4 linked regions of the Arabidopsis thaliana genome follow. The protein of the gene in region 1 interacts with the protein of each later gene in a pairwise test. Each region holds a gene or a part of one and is shown in the gene's direction. Other genes may lie near its edges.

Region 1 (3,179 bases):
GATGTGATATAACAATTCTTAGGCTCTAATGGTTTTTTGATGTTGTTGGTTAATAGGATCTGCGTGGATGATGTTATCTAGACCTTTTGTGGATTATTTCATATGGGGATGGGATAATCTTCCTCGAATTGTGTTAATGTATTACGCAAACTTCCTTTCATCGCCAGAAGGTTACTTCCACACTGTGATTTGCAATGCTCGAGAGTTTACCAACACAACGGTTAACAGTGACTTACATTTCATCTCATGGGACAATCCTCCAAAGCAACATCCTCACCATCTTACATTAGATGATTTCCAGAGAATGGTGGACAGTAACGCTCCTTTTGCTAGGAAATTCCGTAGAGATGAGCCTGTTCTCGATAAGATTGATTCGGAACTATTGTTTCGGAGTCACGGGATGGTCACTCCGGGTGGTTGGTGTATTGGTACGAGGGAAAACGGGAGCGATCCGTGTGCGGTGATTGGTGATACGTCGGTTATTAAACCTGGTCTTGGAGCTAAACGGATCGAGAAACTCATAACTTATTTGTTATCTACTGAGAATTTCAGACCACGGCAATGCCGGTAATGGCAAATTAGAGTTTTGTCATAGAGATGGTTACGTGGTTTTTCACACAAATGAACTGTATTGATTATCCGATACTTTGATATGGTTGTATAGAGATCTTTTTGGACTTTCTTCATTTGAGAAAGTGCAGAAATTTCGGGAAAGATCATTGATTATTGGAATTTGTCTTCTATTGCCGACCTAAAGTTTGGCCTTTTCCAACTTGATACCAATTTTATAGGTTTGTCACATATTAGTCATGTCCTTTTTATTGTTTGCATGATGAAGTTACCTGACTATTGTGACTAACATATAGGTGTTTCATTGATATTATTGCTTTTGAATTAATTTGATACATGATTCAATAACTCACATTGATATTGTTGTTTTAAATTTATAGATATACACCCATGTGACTAAGTGCAAATTACATGAGGGCCTATTGATGGTCACTACTCATTCCATGTGACTGACTGGTGGCAAAGATTTGGTTTGAATTTGATTTATCAAATGTTTTGGAAATATTATATTACTCAAGAAGTCAAGATTATATTACTTCTGCTCTGATTTTTTATTATCAAAGATTCTTAATGATAAACAAAAATCTCTAAAAGTCTGACATGTAAAATTTATTCAAAAAATCATCATAGCAGAAGCAAGAAGCTTATCAAATGAACATAGTAAAATGTCACAAAAATATATATAATGGCTCTCATTCAAAGCTGTCACATAACATTAAATATATATTTCATTAAAATGTCACAAAAATAGCAGAAGCAAAAATATATTTATATTTCTAACAAGAATCCATATCGAATACTGACAAATAAACAATTGAGAACAGAGTTTGGTCTAAAATTCTCAGTCACGGTTTCATATACGGACCAATTGTGGCAGTATTTGCTCATCAACTGAAACTGTAACAAAATATCCATATTAGTAAATATAAAACAAAGAAGAAATGCAGATGAATACTTACAATAAGGCCTAACCTCGACCTATAAAAGCCCATTATTAATTTAGGCCCAACGACGTTACGAAGAGAAACGTACGGCACCATTTGGCGCCTTTATTTATAATTTGTTTGTCATGCGTTGTGATTTGGGTCTCTTCTCATCACAAGTCGCAACGCTTAATCGTATCTGCCTAGAACATTTTCTGGTACATGTATGTATAATCGTCGGTGATGGAAGTGTTTCTTCTTCTAGATTCTGCTCTCGCTTCAAAGATCTGATTGATTTGTTTCATATCTTTCCAAGTAACCTCTCTAATTGTTTATCTTTTGTTTATCCCTGATGCAATAAACGTTCCAAGCGGACTCCTGATGCAATAAACGTTCCAAGGTCTCGAAGGTTAGTTTCCTAATCTTTAAGTGTGTTGGTGCTATCGTGGGTTGTTTTTGGGCTACTTGTTGCTTGTCTAAAGATAACTGTAAACTTTCAAAACTTGCGACTCTCTGAATTCCTCTTTTGGCTTGTGGGCGAATTGTTAGTTTTCTTTATTACGTGAATGTGTAGGAACATGTTATAATGTCTGTCTCTATTGTTCTTTGGGTTTTGGTGCAGGCATGGAAGAAGAAGAGACATTATGGCTGAATGTAGGGCATACTTTATGGAAGTGAAAGATACGTTTCATGATCAAATTGAAAAATATGATATGTTCAAGAATATTTTGTTAGATTTGAAGGCACGAAGGTAAGATGATTGCTTTTTTTTTTTTTTTGGTTTAGCCTTAAGGTTTTGATGAGTTTGCTCAAAGAATTTCTTGCATTCACAGGATTGGTCGTCATACTGCGTTTGCTCAATTGAAAGAGTTGTTCAAGGAGCACAACGAATTGATTATCGGATTTAACACCTTTTTGCCAACTGGATACAAGATAGCTCTTGATGATGACGTAGAAGACTCTTTTAGCTCGACTGCAAGAAACTATTGAAATTATCTTGTCATATTTTTTCTACTCAAATGATACGATCAAAATCTCTAAATTAGTCTCTCTATTCAGTTCTTGATGGTTTATCGAGTATCTTTGCTTTGCCATGCATGTAGGAATTTCACTATGATAAAGTTTGACCTTTTGCTATCTTCTTTACGTCCACTTAATTTCTTTATTTACTTAATTTGACCTTCGGCAAAAGCATTATTATCTACTTATTATTTTTTATTCTTAATGAAAAAAAAAACTGAAGTATATATGAAATTTGTAATATTCTAACGAGAAGTTAAAATCATAGATTGAAAAAAGAACTATATTGAGATCATAGTTTGATTGTTACAAATACTAAAAATCATTAAGAATTTCTTCATCATATCGTTGCAGTATTTTCTCATCAACTGATACAATAACAATTCAAAAAAAAAGTGAAAACGATTTTATTCCTTTTTATTAATGTTTATTTTTTAGCTGTCAAATAAAAGAGAGAGCATATTCTACAGAACTTCAGGGATGAAAAAAGGCCTCTTTATATATATAGCCTTACACTATGATCACATTGGTTCTACAGTATGATGTTACAAATACTAAAAATCACAAAGATTTCTCTCCATCATATTGTTGCTGTATTTGCTGATCAAATGTAACCAAAAATATCCAAAAAGTCAAATATTAAAACAAAGAAAATAAGAATAGCGA
Region 2 (3,597 bases), on another chromosome or scaffold:
AGGTTAACGATGAGGATGATGCTGAGGATGGCAGTGAAGAGGTAAGTTATTTTACACCTCTGCAATCTAAATATCTGTAGTATGAATCAGTAAAGCTTTGTATTAACTCTGTTATACATGTGATGTAGGAGGAAGACGATGATTAAGAAGTTGAAGTTGTGGTAGCGTAATATAGAAGGCTGCAAGGAATCTCTCGGATGTTTTTATCTCCTCTCTTAAAATGTTAATTCGGGTGGTTAAAGTGGTTTTTTTTTTTTTTCTTTTTCTTTTTCTTACTGATGTTTCGTTTTAGTAAACTATTACCTATCTCCCACTGATTCTACGGGTAATGGAAAAAGTGAATGTAGAATGTTTAGATGGTGAAATGAGAGATTTGTAGCTCTATATAATGAATGATTTAGTTTTTAATTCCTCTACGTTTTAATGCTCTTTAGACTCTTTGTTTCTAGTTGATATGAGGATTTATACCCCTGAAAAAAATATTAGTGTAAACCATGTTTTTACTTAAATCATATTGGGGTTGTGAGTCCTATTGCATAATCACGCTCTTAATCAATGTGTTCCACAAAGAGTAAACCATGTTTTCACTTTTTATTTAGTTATTTGACTTTAGACACAGGTTGGTAAAATTGTTTTGAGGCTATACTTGAATTTTCCAAATTACCAACGCCATGATCATTTGGTTCTCTTTTCATCTTTTGAAAAAAAAAAATGGTTTGCATCAGCTTAATTAAGAGTTTCTCTTTGGATTGTATTACTTCGTTTGATTTAAGAAATAAGTAAAAAATTTGATCATTTTTGACAAAAGTGAAGATTTTAGTGAAAATCTGCGTATTAGCAGCAGAATAGTCTCACTTATGTTATAAATTTTTAGTCAACATCTTTATATCAAAGAACCTTTTTGGTCAAATTCGTACATTTTCTTCTTAATCAACTTAGAAAAAGAAAGAAAGCATGCTCTTCTTTTTCCATCAATAGTTTAATCATTAGTCATAAGTCACAACGATAATATTTTATATAATGCTGTGATTAAGCCTTGCTTCCGGCTTTACCTAACCACTATATACATAAAGTAAGATACACAGTTTGTGTTCCTCTACGGATGTAACAACAATACCTGGTTTTAATTAGGTTGTTTTTATATATTAGTGTGGTGTCTTATTATGTCATCAACACATAGGATTAAGATCTTCTTAGATACATATTTTGGATTAGCACATTTTTCTATTTCAAATGGTAGATATCTTGACCCGTAAAACTCGATTAAAATGTTGAAATTCTAACAAAAAATTGTGAATACCGTCGACCAAAATCTATCCTAGTGAAAGGCCATAGTTCTCCAATGTTTTCAATATGTAACCAATGTAATAAACCTGGTAACTGTAAAAATTAAATTGGTCCAATTGATCATTAAACAAAGACATCTTTCCAAAAAGTGTTTGATTTAACGGTAACAAATAAACTAAAGATCCCTTTATTCATAAACAAAAGAATATATATATCATTCACTTTCTCATTGTCTTGTTCATATGGTAAAAAAAAAAAAGGAAAAGGAGAAAAGCAAAGAAATAGAGGAGATGGATAGAGAGATCCAAAACGGTGCGTATAGTGGGAGAGTGATGACTGAGGAGCAGATGGAGATTCTCCGTAAGCAGATCGCCGTTTACGCCGTTATTTGTGACCAACTCGTCCTCCTCCACAACTCCCTCTCTTCTTACCATCCACTCTCATCAGGTACACTTCTCTCTGTTTTTGTTCCTGATTAACAACAATCACTTTTCTATGTATTTGATTTTTTTACAAGAGACCATTTGATGAGCTTCTTTGTATACGGTAGAAGAAGTGTGTAAGACGAAAGTGTTTAAACGCAGCGTTTTTTGCGATGCAAACGTTGTTTCCATTAATACACTTGACCCATTGAGACTTTAGTGTAAAAATGTGAAAATTGTGTTTGCGTTTGGTATACAACTAACGAAATCCAAGGCTTTTTTTTTCCCAGTGTTCGATGCATAACTTTGAATCAAATTTCATAATGTTTTAGACATTCGAAGACAGTTTACCTACCGCTTAGATATCGATTTATCATTGCTAAAGATATTTGTTAATATAGTTTATGATTTGCTTAGATCGAACAATTCAATATATTATTAATGTTTATTTTCTCTAGACGTAAGCTGATTTGAGGGTTATCATGTCGTGGCCGATTTTTAAGAAGCTTGAGTTATTAGTGCTTTGTGGTTTTGATAATACATATTTTGTACATGGAAGAAACTTAAGGGTCACGTCACTTATTTTTTTATAATGATTGAGTGTAAAAAAGGAGTGAGGCCAATGGTTGGCGGATACTTTGATCCGATGGGGGCATCGTCAAGTTCTCATAGGATATCGACTAGGCATCGGTGGACTCCGACTTCAACACAGCTTCAGATACTTGAGAGCATTTACGACGAAGGAAGTGGAACACCGAATCGACGGAGGATTAGAGAGATCGCGACGGAGCTGTCTGAACATGGACAGATCACGGAGACAAATGTCTACAATTGGTTTCAAAACCGGCGAGCTCGGTCCAAACGAAAGCAGCCTCAAACGACGACAGCTAATGGTCAGGCTGACGATGTGGCGGTGACAACGGAGGAAAGGAGGAGTTGTGGAGATTCAGGGGGATTAGAGTCTTATGAGCATATACTCTTCCCAAGTCCTGACTTAGGTAAAAAGATCATTTGAGTTTTTAAACATTTGGTTAGGTTTATTTTTTATTTTTGGTTTGAGTTTGCATTTTTTTTTGTGGTTTCAGGGATTGAGCATTTGTTGAGTATAGGGAAATTTATGGAGACTTAAAATTCGTATAGACTTCGATGAAGAAGATCTCTAATCTATTCTGTTTTCTTTTACTCTGTTTTCATAAAATAGAATTGTGTGTGTTTGTGTGTGACATTAACAACAAGTCTTCAATTTTATTATAATTTTGTGTTCCTCAACTTGATATATATGCCCACATCTTTTTCAGCATCAGAAAGAAAAGTGATGCCATCTTAAACTCGGTTGATATTTTGACCGGTAAATCTCAATTCAAATGACACTAAAGAGTAGAAGCAATTGACCATAATAACCGATCCTAGTCATGACCATAGCTTTTTTCATTGTTTTTAAATTTATTGTTATCACACAAAAAATCATATAAAATCGGATATTGGTTACATGACCACACAATTAGAATATATATCAATTATTTATCCAATTGAATCCCAAAATTACCTCAATTAACTAGTAATTGAAAAAGAAAAAAAATCAGACAATTGATCCTAGTTTGACATCTTTCCATAAATTGTTTAAAGTTAACGGTAACAAATAACTAAAGATTTCTCAAAAAGAAAAATACATAACACCTTCACTTCCACATTGTCTTCTTCATATGGTAAAAAGGAGAGAGGAGAAGGCAAAGTGGTGAAAGAGGAGATGGAGCAAGAGAGCCTAAACGGTAGGTATGGTAGTAGAGTAATGACGGATGAACAAATGGAGACTCTTCGTAAGCAAATCGCCATTTACGCCGTTCTTTGCGACCAGCTCGTCTTCCTCCACAACTCTCTCTCTTCTGTC
Region 3 (4,538 bases), about 16 Mb from region 1:
ACTGCTTTCTGCATAACAAAGCACATTATTTCAAGTGATCAATCTACATGGCAACAAAAGACAAAAACAACTGGAACAACTAAAAGAAGGAGGTATCAACAGTACCTTAGTAGCACGAGAACTGTAGCCGATAACCACAACATCAAACTTCTCGAAAAAATCAACACCAAGTGTTGACAAATCACCTGAAATTGAAGACATAGACTCGATGTTACTAAAATCATTTGTTTCTACTAAAATTAGAGAGAAATGAAGAAAGGAGGAGTAACCTTTCTCTATTGAAACATGAACCATAGGGTTAAAATCCTTAAGTGAATCACAACAAATCTCAGCTACGGTTTTGCCTACATAAGCATTTTCATCAGGAAGAATCAAGAAGTTTGCGTTGAAGACTTCCGTTGTAACCAATCGATCATCCAACAGAGTCACACTACCTACTCCTGCCAACACAATGTTCTTACAAAACTGCAACACCAAATGGAGGAAACCAAGTAAGATGCCAACACTCACTCTACTGCAACATAGCTAATAGAGAGTCACAAAATAAAGTAAGAGGTACCTCAGCAACAGTGCCCTTAATTCCAGATACCAAAACATGAGATTTACTCAATCTGCAAGCAAAAACACAAAACAAAATTCAGAGAAGCCCTAATCAAAATTTCAACAGCTAAATTAGCTTAAAACCCAGAAAGAGATAAACTTTCACCGAGTATAGCCCAACAAGAAGAGTTTATTAGTACTCAAACGGAAAATCAATAACTTGTTGTTGCTTGAAGCCATAGAAGTTAGATTCAATGTGAAGTACCTTCTTTGAGCACCAGCTCCCCATACCCTAATTTGACGGTCATAAAGAGCAGTTTCCTGCTCGGTGAGCTCATCTCCGTCCATTCTCGTAGTGAAACCCTAGAACCGACCTCGAAGAGATGATCAAACCCGTCACGAATCTACTACAAGAGGTTTTCGGTGACTCACTCACTGAGTTTGAGATTTTTTGTTAACCGGAAAATTGCTTTCTTTTTATTTATTCAAATTACATGGTTTGTTTTGGTTTGGTCCGGTTCGTCAACTACAAATTTTTAAATTCAAAACAACTGTGCATTCAATAAATAACCAATTTGTTATTTTTTAGGACAATTTATGGGCCGAAACAAATGAAACATGGGCTTTGGACCCCAAATCTTTTAAATCCATCTGCAAAACTTTTAAAGACATGGAAGACTTTTATACGATTCTCCCTGATAATTGACAACTTGTGTGACCCGTAACTATGAAAGTCAAAGAAAATAACGCGTATCGGTGGAAAGAGAGAAGAAAAAAAACAGAAGAAGATGTTGTGTAATGCGAAGCACAACATTCACATGCTATGTTTTTTGCCGTAAACAACTAAGCATCCTATACCTCTTTCTTTAGTATCACTTTCCAATTTATTGTTTCATTTTCATCATCATCATAGTTATAAAAAAGAAAAAACCACATCTATTTTATATCACAATTTGAAAACTAATATATTTTGGATAAGGGTCAGTAAAAAGATACAAGATTTATGAGTAATTTGAAATTTTCAAAAGTATACTCTGTTCATTCATAAAAATCGGATGCTCAGAGTTCAGAATTGATGAATGGCAGAGAAAAATATAAACAAAGAAAAGTTGAAAAAGTAAGCAAAAGAACAATCAACAACAGCTGTCACTTTCCTCCATTCTTTTCTTCACTTTTTCTTACTCAAAGTTTTTAAAAAATGATATCAATAAAACCCTAAATCAGGAAAGTAAAGTTACAATTAAAGTAAGTAAATCATTTCTTAACTTAGTAATAGCTATTATCATCAATTTCTCTCTCTCTTTCCTCTTTCTCTTATTTGCATTATTGAAGTAGCAGCCACACTTGTTGTCTCCACTTTCTCTTGCTAAACTCCATCATCTTCTCTTTCTTTTTTTTCACTTGTCCCATTTTTTTATATTTTCATCTTTCTCTTTTGGAGTTTCTTCTTCTACTGACTCTACTGGTAGGTGTATGGATTTGGTAAGATTTCTCAACCTTCAAACAACAAACTTTTCTTATTCTATAGTTTTTTTTAATGTAATAACATGTTTATAATCTTACTTTAATCTTTCATTTTTATTGCATTTTTTTAATTCTTGCTTGGAATTGAGTAGACAGAAAAAAAGTTTTTTGTTTTTTTTTTTGTTTTCCTTTCTTCCCATTTTGTGGGATCTGTTCTAGTTTCTATGTTTCTGCACTTCTCATTTCGTTTTTTCAGTACAATTAGTTTGCCTTTTTTGGGATTTTTTTTTTGTTTTTTTTTCAATATCAAAATAGATCATTTTGTTAGAGCTTCAACTACAATTTCAGAGTACTCTTTATAATTGTGTTTTTGCTTTTTGCTTATGCTTTTTTATTTTCCTTCATATGTATTGAAGTTGAAGTTTAATTGAGTTAAAGATTCATGGGTTTTATGTTTACTAGTTGTTTTTGCTGTTTGTTCTTAAATTTAGAGTACCAATATCAAAAAGGACAAATCTTGATATTGCTTTGATTGCTGTTGTGTATGTATGTGTTTTTATAGTGAGAGAAGAAAAAAAAGCACAATCTTTGAATGGACTGGAATTTCAAACTTAGCTCTGGTTATTTATCTGGATTCGATCAAGAACCAGATTTATCACCAATGGATGGTTCGATCTCGTTTGGTGGGTCGTCACAGTCAAAAGCGGATTTTTCATTTGATCTAAAACTTGGAAGAAACATTGGAAACTCTTCCTCTGTTTTTGGTGATACAGAGCAAGTGATTAGTCTTAGTAAGTGGAAAGATAGTGCTTTAGCTAAACCAGAAGGTTCAAGAAGCTCGAGTTCAAAGAGAACAAGAGGGAATGGTGTTGGAACCAACCAGATGCCGATTTGTCTTGTTGATGGATGTGATTCTGATTTTAGTAATTGTAGAGAGTATCATAAGAGACATAAAGTTTGTGATGTTCATTCAAAAACTCCTGTGGTTACTATTAATGGTCATAAACAGAGGTTTTGTCAACAATGCAGCAGGTAAGATTGTGTGTTAATGGTTTAAGCTTCTTGTTGGGTTGGTGAAGATGTTAACATTTGTGTCTAATTAGGTTTCATGCTTTGGAGGAGTTTGATGAAGGGAAGAGAAGTTGTAGGAAACGTCTTGATGGACATAATCGAAGACGACGGAAGCCGCAGCCTGAACATATCGGTCGTCCTGCCAACTTCTTTACGGGTTTTCAAGGTTTCTGTTTTAAGAAAAGTTAGTTAGTTTCTTGAATCCAATAGACCGTTCCTTGTTGATGAAGAAGCATTGTTTTATGTTTTCAGGTAGCAAATTGCTAGAGTTTTCTGGTGGTTCACATGTGTTTCCAACTACATCTGTGTTGAACCCGAGCTGGGGAAATAGTCTTGTAAGCGTTGCTGTAGCCGCCAATGGTTCGAGTTATGGGCAGAGCCAGAGCTATGTTGTTGGTTCTTCTCCTGCAAAGACAGGGATAATGTTTCCAATCTCTTCTTCTCCAAACAGTACCAGAAGCATAGCAAAACAATTCCCTTTCTTGCAAGAAGAAGAAAGCTCGAGAACCGCATCGTTGTGTGAGAGAATGACGAGTTGCATCCATGACTCTGATTGTGCTCTCTCTCTTCTGTCATCCTCCTCGTCGTCAGTCCCTCATTTGCTTCAACCACCACTTTCTTTGTCCCAAGAAGCAGTTGAGACAGTTTTTTACGGGTCGGGATTGTTTGAGAATGCGAGTGCAGTCTCTGATGGATCGGTTATATCCGGTAACGAGGCTGTCCGTCTTCCGCAGACATTCCCGTTTCATTGGGAGTAGTAGAAGAAGAAGTAGGTAGATAGATAGAATCAGAAAGATCTATTTGTGTCTCTTCTCTTCTCCCTCATTTTTCAATGTTCTTTATCATCATCATTGTTCTTGTTAACACTACAAGAAATATGGACATTCTTAACACACCGAAAACGCTATAATAACGTTTACATAGCGGATTCATAAACGCTGTGTTTGCCGGAGCTATCTTAGAGTGGTCACATACAATAGCGTTTCTTGCTATGCTATTAAATGTTCACATATTATGGCGTAAAAGAAATGCTTTGATTTCCTTTGTTATTGCACAATTTTGATGTTATACTTTTGTAACTCTTTTTAAGGGCTATAAACTATTATTTTGTAGCTATATTTTATAGGCTATGATCTGATATGTTGTAGCTTTATTTTTTTGGCTATAAATCTATAAACAGCCTATAAGTTTGGGACATTTTGTTACACATTTGCAAGAAACCTCTTTTTGATCAAATTCAATATATATAAAATCTCCATACAAGTCTCAATCCAAGTCTTAACTAACATTACAATAACAAATGCCACAAGTAAAATGATATCACATCTTCTTTCTAACCTTGACTCGCTTCTCCAATTCTTCTCATAATCTTGTACAGTCTTCTTCTTCTCTCCAATCAAACTTCAAACTCGAATAGTGTAAAAATGAGTACTTGAGCAGATCTTACATGAAACTTAGAATTA
Region 4 (3,650 bases), 1.1 Mb from region 1:
GAATTTTATTAAATCAAATATAAAATAAAGGTTTTAAAAATAAAAAAAAGTTCTTTTTTAATTAAAACATCTTATATTTTGAAATATAGTGAATAATTTTTCTTTTTTTCTATTTTTTCATTCATTACTAGTTAGTTTTGACTTTTAAATAGAGGTTTCAAAATTATTTAATGGTTTTGTAATCCGATTGATTTCATAAACTGTTCTCGTGTTCTAACAATATTTTCAAAACAATTAAACTATTTTCGTTCTCGTCTTAAATAGACTTGTAAGAATCTCACATAAAATCTGTTTAACTAGGATAAATATAAAGCAAGAGTCAATATATTCATGTCAATAATTTTTGAATTAGAAACTTGTAAACTCTAAAACCTTTGTTGACCAGTTTTTTTTTTTTTTTAGTAAACTTAAGATGATCAATATTATTGTTAATTAGTATTACGTATATGATCAATATAAAATGCATATACGTATTGCTGAAACGAGAGGCGAAAATACAAACAATTCTCTTCATTGCAAGTACTTAGACATTGCTATTACTTGTGAAAAATCCAAAATGATTATTAAGAGACATTATTTTTTCGTCATTAAGAGACATTTTTTTGGCATGATTATTAAAAGACTTTAGTGTATGTGTATATTTGACAGACACTCGTCCTTCCTTATAGGTACGCAAATACGACCCCATGATTGAACAAGTTATTGTCCCTTAAAATTTCTTGAAGTTTCCTCTACAAACTTCTTTTCTTTATTTGCAATATTGTACCTCTAATTTTGGGGGCTTTTTTTTTTAGTTTGGAAGCAACTTTAACCTAATTAATATCAATTGGCTGGTAGATTTCTTTCTTTTATGGGTCTTACGCCCATATATTTTCTAAGACCAGGACAGAGGTATTAATTATCAATTTACTTACGGTTAAACCCCCTTTAGTACACCTTTTCAAGTCTAAGTATAAAATATCCTCTCAAATGAAATCAGTACAAATTGTGCAATTAATCACACACCATTTGGTGTCTCGAAAAAAAACACTCAGTTACAAATTTCTCCAAAATTTAAAATTTAGCCTCGAAGCATATGGTTTATTGGTTAAGACAAGTTCCTTTAATTAGCCCTCGATATATATAACTAAAGTAAACATATGATACTTACTAAAAAAATTTCCTGAATAAATCTTCAAAAACTGTTGACATTCATATAATATGTTTATAGAAAATCAAAATTTGAAAGACAATAACTCTATATCCGTGTAAATAATATGTATATTAATTCTGATCAAAACTAAATTGCAATTATGGCATATCATATATGTGGATACATATTGCCTTCACATGATGAGCATATATATATACCAATATGTAAATAGGAATGTATGATCCAATGAGTCGAAGATCAAGGTAAAGGATAATTAAACAGTAAAACTGAGGTGAAAATTATCTTACCACACAAAACAAAAAAGGCTTGTCTCATCATGTTCATCTCGGAGACAACTTTCATATAATTTACGTACCCGGCCGAGACAAAATCTCTTTTCAACACTGCCCTTCTAAATATGGTCGTCTCATAATCTTTTAATATACTGAAAAGTATTTTGTTTTCCTAATTTAGTTGCATAATGAGATTTTAAGAACCGGGAAAAATATTAAAGCAAACAGTGACCCCAAGTGTGTCGTTTTATACTAATAACAATATATTCACAATATAGAAATAGAGTGGGTCTGTGAGAAAAACAAAAATAAATGGAGCCACTGGGTCCATTTCCTTTATTCAATTAGACTTATTGCATTGTTTTTGGTCCCATTCCCTCTCTTCTAACCCGTACCCAAATATATTAATGCATATATAAATATTTTGAGTGACTGAGAAATGATAGCCAAAATTTTACCAACATTTTTCTCTTCTCATATCAAAGTTTCTCTCTCATTTCTTCATCACACTTCACTGCCCTGTTTTTTTTCCTCATTTTGAATAGTTCTCAAACTTATATATTTTTCCCCCTGAAGCCTAGCTATTTCTTTTTATTTGCATTAATCTCGGGATCCGAATCGAAAAAAGCAATCAGAATAATAGACTTGTACGATACTTGTGCCTAAGCTAACACAATGGCAGAGGAATACTACAGCCTCCGCTCGGAGAGAGTAACTCAGCTTCTTGTCCCTAACTCGGAGTCTGACTCAGTGAGTGACAAAAGCAAAGCTGAGCAAAGCGAGAAGAAGACTAAACGTGGGAGAGACTCCGGTAAACACCCTGTTTATCGCGGAGTAAGGATGAGGAACTGGGGAAAATGGGTGTCGGAGATTCGTGAGCCGAGGAAGAAATCACGTATTTGGCTGGGAACTTTCCCGACGCCGGAGATGGCGGCGCGTGCACACGACGTGGCGGCTCTGAGCATTAAAGGAACGGCCGCTATACTAAACTTCCCTGAACTCGCTGACTCATTCCCTCGACCCGTTTCATTAAGCCCTCGAGACATTCAGACAGCAGCTCTTAAAGCAGCTCACATGGAACCGACGACGTCGTTTTCATCTTCCACGTCTTCGTCGTCGTCTTTGTCTTCTACGTCTTCGCTCGAGTCTCTTGTGTTGGTGATGGACCTCTCGAGGACTGAGTCGGAGGAGCTCGGTGAGATTGTGGAGCTTCCAAGTCTCGGGGCGAGTTACGACGTCGACTCGGCTAACCTTGGGAACGAGTTTGTCTTCTATGACTCAGTTGACTACTGTTTATATCCGCCGCCGTGGGGACAGTCGTCCGAAGATAACTATGGTCACGGAATTAGCCCTAATTTTGGCCATGGCTTGTCATGGGATCTCTAACAGTTTATTTTGTATCATTACCATAATGTTTTGTTTAAAACAGTTTATTTTGTATCATTGCCATAATGTTTTGTTTAATCACGTTTTTAAAACCCTTTGCTGTTTTTGTTTTTTTTTTGAGTTTTTTGGTGTTAGCTAAGAAAGGTTTTTTTTTTTTTTTTTTTTGGAGCGGGTGTGAGCTCCATAATGATACGTGTACAAAACTCTATTTGTGTTTTTTTTTTGTAATATATAAATATCGGGTTTTTTTGTCGGAAAAGAAGGGAAAATAAAGTGATTTTTTTGTAAGTATCATCAAATGAATAAGCGATAAATAAAAGTCCACTAACTTTATGATATTGTAATAATGCAAATCATCAAAATTTAAAAAACTGTTCAATGTTTTTGTTTTTGTTTTCTTTGACAAAAAAAGTTTTTTTTTTAAAATTATAGGAAATATCTTTAACCATTAATTGTAAATTAGAGTCTCACTATCCCATTCATTTTTGTTTTGTCGACATAAATGGAACGGAGAATGTGAGTTAGGGTAAAAAATGAGGGAAAACACAAAGCAAGAGCAACTTGTCCAAGCTGACGCAAACAATACACAGCCACATATGTACATCCATGCAATACTTTATTATCATCTATTAGTATGTTAATGACCATAATTTCCCACTTTAAAAAATTTGTTAGACAATATAGGCCACACAAATATCATACAACTCGTTCTATTTTAGAATTAAAAAGAGAAAGGCTTATGATAAATTCAGATCTGATTAGCCAGCTCCACAGATGACTTTTTTTTGTTTGTGTTCTTATTCTACGATATGTTAAGATTAAAGACTAATTTATCAAAA

What was found.
Region 2: the proteins of AT5G15040 (region 1) and WOX14 interact in a two-hybrid assay, tested with the Arabidopsis thaliana proteins (one large-scale study listed by BioGRID).
Region 3: the proteins of AT5G15040 (region 1) and SPL13B interact in a two-hybrid assay, tested with the Arabidopsis thaliana proteins (one large-scale study listed by BioGRID).
Region 4: the proteins of AT5G15040 (region 1) and TINY2 interact in a two-hybrid assay, tested with the Arabidopsis thaliana proteins (one large-scale study listed by BioGRID).

What each region holds. Positions count from the first base shown.
Region 1 is NC_003076.8:4,869,212-4,872,390, reverse strand, and holds AT5G15040 (Paired amphipathic helix (PAH2) superfamily protein), read left to right. Parts: upstream 1-1,649; 5' UTR 1,650-1,902; intron 1,903-2,115; 5' UTR 2,116-2,137; coding exon 2,138-2,244; intron 2,245-2,326; coding exon 2,327-2,483; 3' UTR 2,484-2,637; downstream 2,638-3,179. Other genes in the region: AT5G15050 (Core-2/I-branching beta-1,6-N-acetylglucosaminyltransferase family protein), read left to right, coding at 57-571.
Region 2 is NC_003070.9:7,181,029-7,184,625, forward strand, and holds WOX14 (WUSCHEL related homeobox 14), read left to right. Parts: upstream 1-1,529; coding exon 1,530-1,734; exon of another isoform or gene 1,735-2,301; coding exon of another isoform or gene 2,302-2,320; coding exon 2,321-2,707; coding exon of another isoform or gene 2,708-2,724; exon of another isoform or gene 2,725-2,794; coding exon 2,795-2,838; 3' UTR 2,839-3,028; downstream 3,029-3,597. Other genes in the region: HMGB3 (high mobility group B3), read left to right, coding at 1-41, 129-165; WOX10 (WUSCHEL related homeobox 10), read left to right, coding at 3,457-3,597. UniProt on the Arabidopsis thaliana protein: Acts redundantly with WOX4 downstream of the TDR/PXY receptor kinase to regulate procambial cell proliferation and differentiation in vascular tissue, independently of any role in vascular. Involved in the regulation of gibberellin (GA) biosynthesis pathway.
Region 3 is NC_003076.8:20,615,192-20,619,729, reverse strand, and holds SPL13B (Squamosa promoter-binding protein-like (SBP domain) transcription factor family protein), read left to right. Parts: upstream 1-1,666; 5' UTR 1,667-2,022; intron 2,023-2,191; exon of another isoform or gene 2,192-2,566; 5' UTR 2,567-2,596; coding exon 2,597-3,036; intron 3,037-3,107; coding exon 3,108-3,241; intron 3,242-3,327; coding exon 3,328-3,833; 3' UTR 3,834-4,026; downstream 4,027-4,538. Other genes in the region: SAE1B (SUMO activating enzyme 1B), read right to left, coding at 1-8, 106-185, 270-465, 560-611, 806-888. UniProt on the Arabidopsis thaliana protein: Trans-acting factor that binds specifically to the consensus nucleotide sequence 5'-TNCGTACAA-3'.
Region 4 is NC_003076.8:3,726,950-3,730,599, reverse strand, and holds TINY2 (Integrase-type DNA-binding superfamily protein), read left to right. Parts: upstream 1-1,873; 5' UTR 1,874-2,100; coding exon 2,101-2,811; 3' UTR 2,812-3,147; downstream 3,148-3,650.